3 linked regions of the Neodiprion lecontei genome follow. The main gene of each other region encodes a partner of the protein of the gene in region 2 in a complex. Links are inferred from orthologs where the notes say so. Each region holds a gene or a part of one and is shown on either strand. Other genes may lie near its edges. The genes, in order: run domain Beclin-1-interacting and cysteine-rich domain-containing protein, ras-related protein Rab-7a and PDZ domain-containing protein 8.

Region 1 (5,055 bases), on a different chromosome or scaffold from region 2:
TCGTATATCAGTCTTTCGGGTTGCTCCAATCTTAATCGTATTGCTGGTAAGATTCTTCAACTTGAACTCTACAGGTTTCTTAGGCGACTTAGGTAATGCTTCAGTTACACTTTTCACAATATTGTCGTCATAATTCAAAGTATCTGAACTCCCGTCACTTGACTTCATATCTAACTGCTTATCATGCAAGATTTTTACTTTCTTGCGAGACTTTCTTACCGGGCTATTCTTTTTAAAAACTTTTCCGTCTACGTTTGATGTTGTACCCTTAGACTGGACTTCAGTATAATCAACTTTGATTACATTTGATAATTTATACGAGTCAGTGCTACAACTGTATGATGTTCTGTTTGTACCAATAAAAAACTTGGCTGGACTCGTGGGCTGAGGTATAGTTAAATTGTGAAGGTTTTCATGATTTTCGTTTAATGTAGGAAGACTACTCCACACTTTCAGAGAGAAGTCAATATCAGTTTTTGTTATCACTGGCTCAGAATTTATTTTACATTTCCTCTCCTTCATAATACTGCTTGGATTCTCTGAAATCTTTCTATCATTCAAATTTGATTGCGCCGTACTCCCAGCTATACCTGTATGATACTTTTCATAGCTATTTGTATTCTCTATATTTACAATACCCCACTTTTTATAAGATAGATTTGTGGGATAAGATGATGATCTGCGATGCCTATTCGGACTATTTTTACCCAAATCCCAATTTGGAAGAAACTGTAATTATATATAGCAAAATTTCATCATATAAATATTAACAAGCATGAGACGAAGTTAATAATATACCTAGCATACTACAAGAAATAAGGAATGGTCTTGAAGGTATCAAATATTTTATAGTTTGGCAGTAATAGTAAGGCTCAGGTAGATAGACTTACCAAGCATGGATCAATTTCCGTTAAAAGAGAGGGCTGATTCTTTTCGACAGCTCTTAGACAGATAAGAGTAGCTTCTGCAAGACTTTCCTGGCACAAGAAAGCCCAAGGTTCAAGGCAGGACAACAAGTGCTCCTTGTCCGATAAAAGCCAAGAAAGCTTCTGAGAGAGGGAATGACTTTCCAAACTAGAAAAAGACATCAGAAGCTTCTGAATTCTATCAAATGATGATTCTATTGAGCAGATATCAATATCAAATTAATCAGTAAAGTTCACATGTCTAAGCTGTGAACATTATATCACATACCTGGTGCTAGATTAGATAGTAATCATTGTACCATTGCATAATAATAAGATAAATATACCATGAAATATGTATATACCAAGATTGCATGTGCCAATATTGTTTCAGAGGTTACATGGGTTTGGAAATTTCAAAAAATCCATTTTTAACATTTTTTTCACCTAATAGTACAACATGTCAAAAATATTTTCCCAAAGTTTCAAGTCAATTGAAGTAAACGGCTAGGGGAGAGAGCCTTCGGAAATTCCTCTCATTAGGCTAGACCGGCCAAGAGCATCGCAGGTATATCGTTCTTTCTTCAAAACAAAACTTTTGAAGTCAGTGGCCGTGATCTCTCAAAAACAAATGCACCGATCTTATAGAAATTTTGCACACTTCTTCTAGATAGGACTGACTAGTGAACGCATGAAGAATTTTTTTTTCTTCAGTCATAACTTATTTTACAAAGCAATATGTTATGTAAAGTCTACCGAAAAGCGTACTTTTTTGCAAAAAGCTTAGCCAAAAATTCAAATTTCAATTAGAAAAAATCCTTTTATCATTCACTAGCTATACTCACCTATTAACAGAAAATATTTGGTGTTTAGATTTCAAATAAAGCTAGCATGGGTTATCGTGACCACCGCAAGATCACTGGGTCTCCAAAATTCAGTTCTGAACAGCTAAATTTTTGAATGCAAATTTTATGAAATATCGTTTAAATATTGTTCTTTCATATGCCTTAAGCTTGAATCAAATAGTCTTTCACTTATATTTTTTTTTGAATACGAGCAAATATCCTTTTCTTCTACCTTTGAAACCCATGCAACCCCTTAAATATCCAAATATGAGAGTCTTCTCTGTACTGAAGAATACGTTCTCAGACGGCCATTCTCTGAGAATTTTCAATAATGTTTAATTCCAAAACAAAAGCTTGTTATAACATGGTAGCCACTAAAAATAGTATATCAAATTCCCTGACCAAAATATATTTTTTCCCTTGATCGAAATTAGAACCAATAGTGCCAATTATTCATGTATCTAATAAATACAGCTCCGAATCAATCGGTATTCAAAATACCCTTGTGATCTATTTAATGGTTACAAAACCGAGCAATACAAACAATTCTTAGAATTTTGCTTTTTTGTGAAGGAAATTTATTCCTTGTCTTTTCATACGGCCACAAAATGGTCAGACTGATTTAAAAATTCACTGACTTCCCAGTTTACCCTGACTAATGGCCACCATGTGTTGTACAACTATTCATTGTATATACTCAAATATTGAAATTTACTGATATATTCTTAGTCACTACATACATGGAGGGACTGGCCAATTTATACTTATTGTTACATAAATAAAATGAATGCAGGAATTATTTTTAATAAACAACTGAAAGTACCTCTTATACAGCCACAACAGATCTTTTCGTGATCCTATCTTTACCGGTATATTTGAAAGATAATCGTCAGACTCATGGACAGATGGGGATGTAGCCAAAGAGGGTTGTAGCCAATTTAACCCTTGTATGAAAATCCAACAATCCGGTTCACCCTTGCAAGGATAGAGTAATAGAAGTAAATTACTTTTTTTATTGAAAGTTTAACTCCATACTTCAACCATTTTACGCAGCGTAATGTACGTTGCAATTTGTGTTTGAGAAGCATGTGACTCTCACCATTGAATCGAAGACTCGACTCCCATGCCTGAATATTCTTTCCATGCATTTATGGAGTCGATTCAAACCTCCGTACACATTCCAGACATTAGAGACTTGACTAACTAACAGTCCTTCGACAGTAGATCGAAGGTACTGTAGAAGCTGCTGGTGTTCCCTGATGTGTGGATCTTGCATAGATGTCATCATGATTCTCCATGTAACAAGGCAAATGAGGAATATAGCGATTATATTATCATTTTGCAAACATTATCGGACTCAAGGAGAGGCCATGATTCATGTTATCGGTTTCAAATAATATCGTAATTATACAGTGAATCATAAATCACAGTGCACACTGCACAATTCTGATCTGACAGCCGGAAGCGGGAGGCACGGATCGTACGTATCACAATCGTTAAAAAGTCACGCCCCCTCGACTTCGATCGAATAACATCCTTATTTATTTGCAAAAAAAAAAATCCTTGTTACGTGGTAATTACCTCTCACTCTATCCAAAGACCTCTGAGTAGCTAGTTTCCGGTTCTGTTCAATGGTTTTCGTATAATAATATGATTCTGCAAAACTCTCATATTTTGTAAACACTCCTCTCACGAGGCCAATGTCTATACATTGGAACGTAACGCAGTTCAAATTTCAACGGTCGGTAAGGCAGAGTTTGGTCAACGTGTAACTTTGGAACCATGTGACCGACTGCTTCGAAACTCCTGGTAACTAAAGTTATGTAGTAGATATACACTTTGCTCGTCTGGCTTGGACAGCTTGGCGCTAGCTTCACATCGCGAAGTACAATGCTTCAACAATGTTCAACCTATAGATAGACGGGATAGACGAACTGTATCACGGTAGGTATACAATACTGTATACAGGGCATTATATTTAAAACATTTTCAAATTGTAATACTCTGTATTTTTGTACTGAATAGTTTATTTGTTTCTTAATTTATATTTATTGTTCTTTAGTTTCCAGAAAATCTAATGTGTTTAGAAATGTTTCACTTAGCTATTTACTTCACTAAATAGCATATTCACTTAATGATACTTCCATCTTTTGCAAGCTTATCAATGTCTATCGCCCCCAAAGTGCAAAGACAAACTAGTGCAGCTCCTTGCTCAGCCCATTTCTTGTTTTTTTCCCTGAAAAATGAAATAATGTTTTTTACTGTTTGAAGACAAAACGGGTAGCATTAATTCTACACCCAATTTGGATTCTTACCAAAATGAAGAACTGTATTTTTTTCCATTCACTGATACTACTGAGCGAAATAATTTATCTTCTTGCTCGGTATGATAGACTGGGAAATTAGTCCTGTTTTCCTTGGTCCATTTCAAAAGCCTCGTCTTCGGTAGCTCTAGATCATGAGTGTAGCTATTACGTATAAAAGCACACTGCATCACAACCACATCATCCTCTTCAAATTTTCTCTTCACTCCTTTTTGTCGATCCAAAGAGGTGGGGATCACTTGAAACCTACCCTGAATGCCTCTGTCTAAGTACTCTTTCCGTTTAGTCCTGCAATAATCTCCCATATCCCAGATAGAACTGAAAAAAAGTTGAATCATTATTTGCTTCTTCTAGGAAATCTTCACATCATTGAACCCACGATAATTAATGCTTGGTATAAATTTTACCAAATCTGCTGAAGCGTTTGAGCTTCTAGAAACGCTTTTCCTTTTGGAGTTTCCTGTAACTCTCGGAGAATATTTTGTATACAGTACTTTGTATTTGATGGGGCATTGTCGTAGTCAATAGCATATTTTAAATAAGACTGTATTACATCTTCAATGGGGAGTATACCCTCTTTTCGAAATATTGAACAATTCCATTCAGCAGCTCTAGCGAGCATCACACTACTGCAGCCTGTTTCTTCTTTGAATTTCAATATGTCTGAATGTTTTTCGATTTCCTTTGACCCCCCATTTGCAATAACTGGAATCGGCAATTGTTTAGCAACTTCTCTGATTATATGACAGTGATTTACATGTTGTGGTCTTTCATCTTTGGTCCTTCCATGAATCGCGATCGCGGATATACCCGTTGAAACTAGTTCCTTGCACAATGCATAAGTTCTGTCTACCGTTGGAAATATCCTGATCTTACACGTGACAGGAATCATTAATCCATTAACTAGTCTGTTCAGAATTTCCTTGGCCATTTCTGGTTGCTCAAGAAGCGCTGCTCCCATGCCGCCAAGAATTGAAAATT
Region 2 (5,126 bases):
TCATTGTTTTGCAGTTTTGGAATGAACATTGAAATCGGATTGCCAAAATATAAGTGTACTCTGATTTATGAAAGTCACGAAACAACAAGATGTCCTAAAAATGCATCGTTACATCAACGTTGCAAACTTCCATTTCATTTGCTGCGATATCTATAAATTTAGATTTTATCTTGTCTTCTGTTTCATTACTCATAAATGATTGAAACGAAGTATTTTCAATCTCATACGCGCTATTCAGAGCTCATATTTTTCATGTTGATTAGGGTTTTTCTGCCTTAATATTATTGCTAATTGTCGAAGCTTCCGACAATACAGACAAGTGTTTCAAAATTTTGAAGGAAAATACCTGTTTTGTACTTTTAATGACTCCAGTTTTCACAGAAAACCTCTATAACGAAATATTCTCCTTGTTAATTAAATCTAACTGATGGAAAAAATCAATCGACGAAATGAAAGATTGAGTGGGCAATGTATTCCCTTTTTTGTTCAGAGAAAAATATTATCAGATACGAATTTTCCTAGTAACAAACGGGTCTGTATATTTTCTCTTTTTCATTTTGCTTGTCCCTGTGTATCCAAATATTCTTTCCTCGATCTTTCTTCTTCGTAAATTTAATAAAGTAAATAATATAGACAAGGGTTACCTGCATAGTGACTATCCTGCCATCGACCATAACTTCCTTGGTGAGAAAGTCAGCGCCAATCGTAGCCTTGTACTGGTTACTGAACTTTTTATTAACGTACTGATTCATTAACGAGGTCTTTCCCACTCCGGAATCACCGAGGATGATCACTTTCAGAAGCGTTTTCTTGCGCGACGCCATTTCTCTCTACTACAGTAGTGAGATTAACTGAAATTTAAAAAAACAACTGTTACAGCTAACAAATTAATGGAAAATTAGATATTTGCGATTTAATTCAACGCGTAACTGCAGTTACTTGAATAGAAAACTTTAGCGATATTGTCCTGAAAGCTGTCGAGCGCCGCTGTTCCCACTGTTATTTTCTGTTACAAAAAATAGTTTTTCTGGAGCAACGAAGAACATCAGACTAGAAAATTGTTTTGTAATAATGCTTAATTTGAAGACTCTGAAGGAAACTAATCTGGCTATGCCCGAGGTATAATTTTTTTACCACCTGTGCTTGTTACGTGAGGATGCATTTGATTTTCTAATTCGGTGAAATTAGAAAATGAGATTTATTGTACATTAACCGGTTCAAAAAAACCCAATTTCTCATAAAGGTGGTAATTCCGCAAAGAAGATTCAGCATTTCAAACGAAATGTTCGACTCAGGTATGAAGTTTGTAATATCGACTGTATTTGCTTTGTCTGTTTATAAATATACGAGGCAATAGTGGATGTTCACTGTTCTAAGTCGTCACAGTTTGAAAGAGCTCTAGATTGGGATATAATTAGTCTGTGTGATGAAAATTTCATTCGAAAAAGTCTCGAGTTCTTTTTTACAGTTACATCATAGGTTACAGATCGAAGAATGTTTGACTACCTCGAGCTTCCTTCCTCCATTTGCTTTTCTTTTTATTCGACTTTCTAGGTCAGCGAATAGCAAAAATGAAAGAAAAAGCTGAAAGGGATGATGCCGTGATTAGAATGATACTTCAGAGTGAAATTTGTGCTAGATTATTTATATACGATGGTTTTCTTTTTTAATCTTTGAACCGTGACTCGATTGCCTGACTTATCGTGATATGGGGGCTTCCCTAACCTCAGCTTGTCAGCTGTTGAATAAGGCATGATTATATTCATTATTCGTCAACTCGATCCGCTGTAATAGACCTCGATTTTAAAATTGGACAACGCATAATAATCAAAGCAAGCAAGAGAAAAGATTCAGCTGTAGAATGAGTTAAACAATGAATCAAATCATTAAATTTTAGAATCGGTTATTGAATTAACTGACAATAAATAAAGAATCGGGTGAAAAATAGGTGATTCGGGCTGAATTCAGAGTGGACAGCGATGCCAGGTGGAGTAAATATTATGAAAAATGGATACCATTTGAATGATCGACACAGTTGTCTGTATGTGTGTCATGAGAAACCTGATAAGAGGCAGACTTTGATAGTTCAAATACAGACAAACAACATGCCTCATATTGTATTACTTCCTATTCCATAACTCACACGCCTGGCATTAATCTCTAATGATGCGGATAGCCCGTGAAAGGCTGAAACTTGCAAGATACATAAAAATGCTGCTTCCGACAAAACAACATCGGATAAAGGACATTTTTAGATGTTTCATATGTAAAAGGATACCAAAGAATGCGATGATTCAACGATTGGGATGATCCGGAGAAAGTAAATCGAATAACACGTTCAATTAAATAAACGGTGGAAAGCAGTTTAAATTTTTTTTTAATGAATCTACAATGCCTGAGATAAGTAAAACTAAACGAGTAAAAAATAACGTACCTATGCTTGGGCGAGTTAAAACTACGTGTAGAAGAATCGAAAGTGTGTTGATACTTTTGAAAAAAAAAAATAGAATGACAAAGTGATTTTTTTTCTCCGATAGTTTCTTCTTTGTTTGTTTCTCTCCTTGTACTCAGGGACGAGGGCTAACACGTCCTTTAGTAGCAAAACGATTCTCCCCCACAATGACGAATATTCAATCGAGTGTGCACGCATACGAAATTCGTATGTGCGTGAGGAGAAACGCTTTGTGATATGTATTTCGTGAGACACGCAAGTAGGTATGAGTAATGCAGATAGGCAGGTACATAGTAGGTTTGATAAGATTTTTGACGTATTGTTGTCTCGCAGGGATTTGGGGCCAGGTAAACGCGTATCGGATAAATGGTTAGACTGACGAATAGCGACGTTAGATCGAAGCCGTGAAAGTTGAGGCGTAATAGCAATCAAAGCTGATGCTATCCAACCAATAATAGTGGTGATAGACCTGTCAATGCGTAGTAGGACGTCGCGACGTCAATTGTACGCAGTAAATGCGACGAATTGTTGCTTATTTCGGGTTGATGACGGGGAGTTAGATGCTGGATGGGTTAAACGTGGTCGAGTGTCATTGCCTGAGGGACGGTTACCTTTTACTTGAATTAAAAACAGCGATATTCCGTCTGCTTCGACACTTCACAAACTAAGAAAATGGCGTACTGTGAATCACGAGCGGACTGGACTATGAGAGAATGACAACGGCGCTCGTTATCTGTTTCGATAGCTTGCGATTAATCGAACCACGATCTCTATGCCTCGATCACTCCGTCCATAGACTTTGCGCGTTCCTTGGACGGCGATGAGACCGTCAATATAAAGACAACCCTGTTCTGTCGGAGACTCCGTCTCTGTTTAACCAGGCGAGTGGCGGGGATAGCGGTAACTCATCGGCGCGAGAAGATATCTTTGTTATCTCCAGTCGATCAAGACAAAGTATGACGAGAATTTCATGCAGACACGCGATAAGCGTATAGAGATATTATATACGATTTACTAGGCAAGGTATAGGGATAAGCATAAGCCGAAAGATCGGATGGAAAGAAAAAGAAAATCGAGTGATCCCTCTATCCTTGTTTGCATACGCATTTATGCATGCGTCAGAATCATAGCTATCCTTTATCTCTGCGCAGTAACACACTGCGCATGCTTGGTAGAAAATGATAGATAAGTCGCTGAATTTTCTTTCTCTTTTTCTCGATTGGACAATTGCATGGTTCACTTGCCTACTTTATTTATAATATCTCTGTAGATGCTACGCGAATGGCTGTGGGTGAATGTGATGCCTGCAGGCAATGGTAATTGAACATACTTACCTGACATTGGTATGAATTTTAGTTTCCTAACAGTCATGCCAGATGTCGCTTTTGATGCTTTACTCAGCTAACTATGAGTTTCCTTAAAATGAGTTCATAACATCTTACTAGGAAATCATGTCGCGCGCTGCTAACAGCATGGTCTTGAAACGAATTTACAAAACAAACAAATGACTAAAGTCAGACAGAACGAATAACCACGTTGTCTTTTAAAAATTTTTTCTCATTTTTCACATTTATTAAATTAATATATTGCAGATATATTGCGCACATCTCACTAATATGGGTCTTGAATATATAAACACATATTATATATATTTGAGTAAATTTTAGAAACATACCCTGAAGAATAAATTCAAATTCTATCGTCATCGTTTCATGTATGCATCATGCATTGAAAGAGGCCCGCCATCTTTCACTTTTTTCTTTTTTTACTAATTCAATTTTTTTTCTGGATTTTATCAATGTATGAGTTATTTTGTTTTTTATTCATACCCAATTATCATTTGTAATTGGATAAATTTAGAGTCAGTCTGACCCAAGTGTGGCAGCAGTGTTTTTCCAGAGAAATGTCTAGACTAAGTTTCAATCATGGTTTTATTATGAATCAACAAACATGACGTACTTGGTAACGGTATGTGATTGGAATCTTTTTGAACACTCAATGTGATTTTTGGGGGAATATTCTTATTTCAGCACACGGAATCAAGTACATAAATCGCTAAACCGGAAATATGTCATTACTACTATATCTTTAGTTTTTAACCTGAAAGGAATCGTCTACGAATTGAATTTGAGCCTTGACGGGATATTTGATAAGGAAAAAGTGGAACTGGAATCATTTGGATTTGATATTCGCAAGATTTCGGGAAATATTTTAACTGTATTAAAATGGCACATAAGTGAGACAATTATTTTGAAGCATGTTTCATTTTAATTGTGTTCAAAAACTTGTACATCTCGTAGAAAACACGTACATAAAATAAATCGAGTTTATCTTCTACCGTATATAGTTTGATAGATACAGATACATATATATGTACAGTGAGAATAATTACGTCTAATAATACGAATGGGTAACATCACAAATTAAACGTGTACCGAATAATAATTATAAATTTTTTTGCCCGCGAACAATTCGTTCACGTTGCAATTATTATATTTTGAAACGAAACGCAAACAAAAAATGTTATTTTCTTACTTAAAAGATTTTTCTTTTTAATGATTTGGATCAGTATTATCAATATGACATACAATTTTGTGACTTTTAACTCACAATTTACTCCTTATAAATGTAATTTTGTAACTTGTAATTTTTAGCTTTTTAGTTTTCATTTATC
Region 3 (5,176 bases), on a different chromosome or scaffold from region 2:
GATCATGGTTTCTATTTTAACTGCAATTTAAATTTTAACGAAGATGATGATTATGTTTTGAGAGCTACAAAAGAAATTAGCTTTATTAAACGTTTTTCTAAAGTTTCTGATGATGTAAAAACTTTCAGAACACTTTATTATTCATCATTTCTGTATCCAATTTTAACGTACTGTTCGATTATTTGGACACCTCATACTATATGTATCCAAACATTTACAAACTTGAAAAATTATATTACTTATTTTTGCGTTTTGTAGCTTTTAAGTCCGGCAATCCAATGCATTTTAGTGATTAAGATTACTGAAATATTTCTTCAATTCTTCTAATACCGTCAGTTTGTTCAGAAATGTACAGAATTGATCTAATTTTTGCTTATTGAATTCTTAATAATGTGATTGACCACCCGAGTTGCTATCTAGGTTTCTTTTTTTCACTCCAAGCAGAACTTTACGACACAACAATGACTATTTCTACATAAATTTGAACATCAAATCATACTCTGTAAGTGACCGTCTATCATGATTATGTAACGAGAATAAAAATTGATTTGATCCGTACAACACTAGTTTTTATACTATAAGAAACCTCTCCAGATCTTTATTTAAGTATGAATAACTCTTTTCTAAATTACACTACAACACTGTATTATATCTTTTTCTATGTACAAGGGTGGGATATACATTTTTACATAGTTAATCTCTAATAAATAAATAAATAAATTTCTGACCATAACCACTCGGTGTAAAATAAATACCTAGCCATAAATGGCACAAAAGTGTTTGGTCGGCTTTGAGCATTGTGAAATTTGATTGTTAAACAATTGAATATTCAAAAGCTGCGCTGATATTTACTGCAGAGGATATTCTTGTAATTGGATCAATAACTGAATAGATTTCTAGTAGCAGGAACAATTGAATCGTTTCCCTGGTGTAAATTTCTACTACTACGAATATTTACAGAAATTGGGCTATATTAAACTGTATTATTTCATACAAAATAATAAATATGGGGCATTGACATGACATCTTGATCAAGATTTTACATCGATGTCTCAGATTGGCTTTATAATTTTTTCTCTGAAAGTTCATGACAAATAACGCAATCGCAATTTTTTTCAGAATTTTTTGACCCAGCGTATCTAAAGTATGATTTAAAAATTGAATAAGCCCCCACTTTCTGAAATTTTCAAAAATTTAGAAAAAGTTTATACGATATAACAAAATTTTTGACACCTAGTAGAAGATGGAGATTTCATAACTTCAAAAGAAAAATAAGAGAAATGAAAAAAAAATTATTATTACTGGATTGCATTTTTGCCGTAAGAATGAACACAAAAGTTCATTATAATACCTCTCTGAATACATGTTTTTTAGCCCACCATACTATAATGAGCTTTATGTTCATTCTTATGTAAAATATGCAATCCAATAATAATAATTTTATTTTATTTTTTCATTTTTCTTATTTATCTTTCAAAGTTATGAAATGGCCATCTTCTGGTAGGTGTCAAAATTTTTGTGACACATTATAAGATTATTCTGAATTTCTTCAGGTTTTAGAAAGTGGGTTTTTTTTAAAGTGTTTAAATCATACTTCAGATACACTGAGTCGCAAAATTCTGAAAAAAATTGCGATTGCGATTTTTGTCATGAACTTTCATAGAAAAAATTATAAAGCCAATCTGAGACATCGACGTAGAATCTTAATCGAGGTATCATGGGATGCTCCATATACGTAGTTTTTCATCAAGAATGGTTAATTTTTTTGAAAACTGTAGTGGCTTGAAGATTTCTCACTGAAAAAATGCTAATTTTCACGAAAATATACAAGTTTTAATAAGAAACTAGCCATATTTACAATTTTTTATGAAAACAATGTTTCGTAGAAAATTGTACGAAGTGTCTCAATTTCTATACCCTAATTGAGTGAAATGACCAGTATCTTCTGAGAAAATTCTCCAAATACAGACAGCTTTACAAAAATAATTAAAAACTAGTTTCCAATATTTCTTTTCTCAACAGTAAACTCTCATACAGTGTAATGACGAAATACAAGTCTCTTTTTTCTGACATAGAAAAGTGTGAAAAAATATGTGTTGAAGTCAACTCCTTCTATTGCGCTACTTGTCCTCAATAGCCAAAATTGTTGAATGAAAACAATTGAAGATCAAAGCGAGCATCATGTTCCAGTTAATTATATGACTCACTTGAACGCTGTCGAACAGTTTGCCAGTAGTCGACCTGGTAAGCAGTACTTTGAACTCATTGTTAAGCTTCCTGTAGAGCCAAGAGCGAACCCGTTCTGCGCTTCTGAGCTCGTTGAACAGGAATTGCAGCGTCAAATTGATAGCCAAGTTCTCGTTGCCCTGGGAGACACTTTGCCTAGGAGTAAAGCTGCTGTTGTGAAAGTTTGATTTCTCGTTTTCAACCTCGTTCAGAAGTTCGTCAGGCAAAACTGCACGTCCATGAGGCGCCGGTTTTTCGGGAGGATCGGCAAGCGGCGCCGCTTCCAAGTATTTTATGAATATGTACCATTGTAGAGCCAACGTCGATATTACGCCGCATATAAATGACAATATTAAGAGTGTTACAATGCTCCAGAAGTCCATTGTTTTATAATAAATTGATTGAATTTAATTTATCAAACATAATCGACGTAGAAAGAGAAGTAATTTCTTCTTTTTCTAAGCGGAGATGCGTAGGTACGCAATATTTATAGTGATGCGATCATACTTTGGTGTATTTTCACCTTCAATTAATGAACATTATTTCATTTGGTTGGTAGGAGGTGTTGGAACAAACTTAAGAATTGATTTACCCCAACCTGATTCATAATTGATATTTCATTACTTCAACAACTAGTGTGTGGTGGTGTAAAGCTAATAAATAGTGTCAGACTTTCACTCTGAATCACGCATTTCTAATTTAACTACATGTAATTGTCTACTAGGTTCAATGGTGTGAACATTTTTTATGTGGAACAATTAGTTTTATCAAGTGACAAAAAACAGTCGCCACATGCCGTTTTATGTGAGAATTAAATTTTGACATTTCTGTATCGATTCCAGCGGCTTCCTCCACATTGACACTTCTCTCTCAGCTGACGCGTGACAGCTGAACGAAGCCTTTATGGAATCGTAATACACAACGATGGGGGGGGGGGGGGGGGGGGCTAGACACTACGCGACATGCAACGCTTCTACCCTTACCGGCCGAGCTACTTATTAATTCAATTTTAACTGATTCTTGCAATAGGATTGATAATTTTGATGGTTGATATACAATTTTCACGGTCACGTTTTCACTCGTTCGTTCAATTGCATAACATGATACATTGCTGCCCTATTTTTATGCAATTATTACGACAGGGTCTTGAAGCATTGTGTATTCGACTCGGTGTATACATACCTACATGCTCGAGGGACAGGGTACAGAAAACTACGATTTGCTAATAAAATCATTGTCAATGCATAGTTTATTTTTATGGCGCACATGTTGCATGATCATTTGTATTTTTGGTGGCTACCGATAATCGTATTGAAAAACATCATTTTACTCCTTATCACCTTCAAGAATCCTGAAAAAGTCCCGGAGCTAAGGATATCAATGCCCAAATTACGATAAAAAAATAACTCGGCCGGTATGGAAGAACAGTGCGAAGAAAAATTGCAATAGATAACAGATAACTCTTATTTATAAACAATGAGTATTTGTTGTTAATGAGTTGTGTCATGCACAATTGTGTCGTATGACCATACAGCTTTAGCTGATGGAGACTACACAAGGAGCACGAAGTCCATGTAAACAAGAAGCTGCCTGAAATAAGATGGTACTGGTGATCCGTATGCACCGAAGACAGTACAGGGAGTATAAGGCAGTACAGAATACTTTCTATGAATCACATTGTAAGATCATCGATTAGTCAATCTTGAGTATCCTTGCAACCATGGCACGGAGTAGTAGTCCTACTATTCCGTCATTGACTGAAGAATATGTATAAACACGGATAGCCCTGGGTAAATTTTTGTGACCAATTTTCGGCGGGCAAGTGGGCCCAGGTCGGCCTGGGAGCCTAGGAGGGTTCTGGTCTATCGACTCTATCTAACGGGTTCGCACCGACATTTGTAGCAGCCAAAACAGTGTCGGTATAGAAGCTTGAGATTGAGTCGGTACAAAGTGAGTACGTAAGACTACTTTTCGACTGCGACTTAAAAATGTCGATCAGCTCGATCATCCCCGTGAGAAGACGCCTAACCGCGTCCACAGCCAACCACCGCATCAACCTCCGAGCACCTCCAACCACTGTCAACCACCTCCTACCATCTCCGACTACCTTCTACCACCCCCTACTACCTCCTACCAGCGCCTACCACCTTCTCCCATTTCCGAACACCTCCAACCACCTCCGACCACCTCCGACCACCTTCGTCCTCTTCGTACCCCTGCTCCTCTATGTATTCTATAACATTAATATTCATAATTATTCCTACAACTTTTCATTTGCTCTCTCGATCTTGAATTTTCGTAGGCACAGAAGCGAAACGCTGTTTTAGCTAGTCGCATGTGAAGTATCTACGTTGGGTAGAAAAGCGGAATTGTTTTTCGAAAAGTATTGTCATGGAAAAAAATTCAGAGTAACTGTAATACATCACGAACACGTTAATTTTGATCAAGATGAAATGGATGCTCCGTATATGAGACAGTATTTAACGCAGTGTCCTGATTTAAAGACCTAAAAAGGTGATTGTCGGTGATTTTTTTTTTTTGATAGGGAGGGATAGAACGAAGCTTCTTAAAACTTCGAATGTATTTTAACACACATTCGCAAGGTATGAGCAAAAATTTTTATTATCCAACTGTCGCAGTACGGCAGCGTTATTCGCTGACCCGTTAACTGAAGAATATATCTCTAGTCAACGACTGACCATCGGAGGGCCTAGCCGTTTATGAGTCTGGAATCGGCAGGAAAGATAAGGTACGTATTTCTTGTCTGAAATGTACAAACTAAAATCATTATACATCATACATGATACATAATATTAAAGTTCGCTACCAAAGTTTGGATGTTCGGATCTTCGGATGTTCAGAAAGTGACGTCAGCCAAAATTTTTTTCTTCCGACGTCATCGATCTATATAGACGAAAATCAGGTAGCCGAATTCCTCAGTCTGGAAACA

What was found.
Region 1: the proteins of ras-related protein Rab-7a (region 2) and run domain Beclin-1-interacting and cysteine-rich domain-containing protein are in contact, whole or in part, in a crystal structure (PDB 6WCW), measured with the Homo sapiens proteins. The link is inferred for Neodiprion lecontei from reciprocal best matches to the Homo sapiens genes RAB7A and RUBCN. Residues at the interface, in NP_004628.4 of Homo sapiens: Ile41, Gly42, Ala43, Asp44, Trp62, Gln71, Ser72, Leu73, Gly74, Val75, Ala76, Phe77, Arg79, Ser101, Asp104, Glu105, Ile108, Gln109, Ser111; in NP_055502.1 of Homo sapiens: His818, Asn821, Met822, Lys824, Thr825, Arg827, Leu883, Gln885, Ala886, Lys887, Gly888, Phe889, Ile890, Glu892, Gln895, Glu897, Ile900, Pro903, Cys915, Lys916, Arg931, Arg934, Arg938.
Region 3: the proteins of ras-related protein Rab-7a (region 2) and PDZ domain-containing protein 8 are in contact, whole or in part, in a crystal structure (PDB 7F6J), measured with the Homo sapiens proteins. The link is inferred for Neodiprion lecontei from reciprocal best matches to the Homo sapiens genes RAB7A and PDZD8. Residues at the interface, in NP_004628.4 of Homo sapiens: Lys10, Leu14, Asp16, Ser17, Lys38, Ile41, Gly42, Ala43, Asp44, Phe45, Gln60, Trp62, Gly66, Glu68, Arg69, Phe70, Gln71, Ser72, Leu73, Gly74, Val75, Ala76, Phe77, Tyr78, Arg79, Thr98, Ser101, Trp102, Glu105, Phe106; in NP_776152.1 of Homo sapiens: Ile999, Lys1000, Leu1001, Val1002, Arg1003, Lys1004, Glu1005, Gly1007, Leu1008, Asp1009, Asp1010, Phe1013, Ile1014, Lys1017, Gln1044, Leu1051, Asn1054, Asn1055, Val1058, Leu1077, Leu1084, Gln1085, Thr1088, Ile1092.

What each region holds. Positions count from the first base shown.
Region 1 is NC_060261.1:33,971,630-33,976,684, forward strand, and holds the start of run domain Beclin-1-interacting and cysteine-rich domain-containing protein, read right to left. Parts: upstream 3,260-5,055; 5' UTR 3,039-3,259; coding exon 2,850-3,038; intron 2,726-2,849; coding exon 2,574-2,725; intron 1,075-2,573; coding exon 891-1,074; intron 730-890; coding exon 1-729. Other genes in the region: tRNA-dihydrouridine(20) synthase [NAD(P)+]-like, read right to left, coding at 3,878-3,986, 4,066-4,392, 4,482-5,055.
Region 2 is NC_060262.1:7,443,984-7,449,109, reverse strand, and holds the start of ras-related protein Rab-7a, read right to left. Parts: upstream 3,214-5,126; 5' UTR 3,064-3,213; intron 852-3,063; 5' UTR 825-851; coding exon 645-824; intron 1-644.
Region 3 is NC_060261.1:25,378,800-25,383,975, forward strand, and holds the start of PDZ domain-containing protein 8, read right to left. Parts: upstream 3,145-5,176; 5' UTR 2,610-3,144; coding exon 2,208-2,609; intron 1-2,207. UniProt on the Homo sapiens protein: Molecular tethering protein that connects endoplasmic reticulum and mitochondria membranes. PDZD8-dependent endoplasmic reticulum-mitochondria membrane tethering is essential for endoplasmic reticulum-mitochondria Ca(2+) transfer.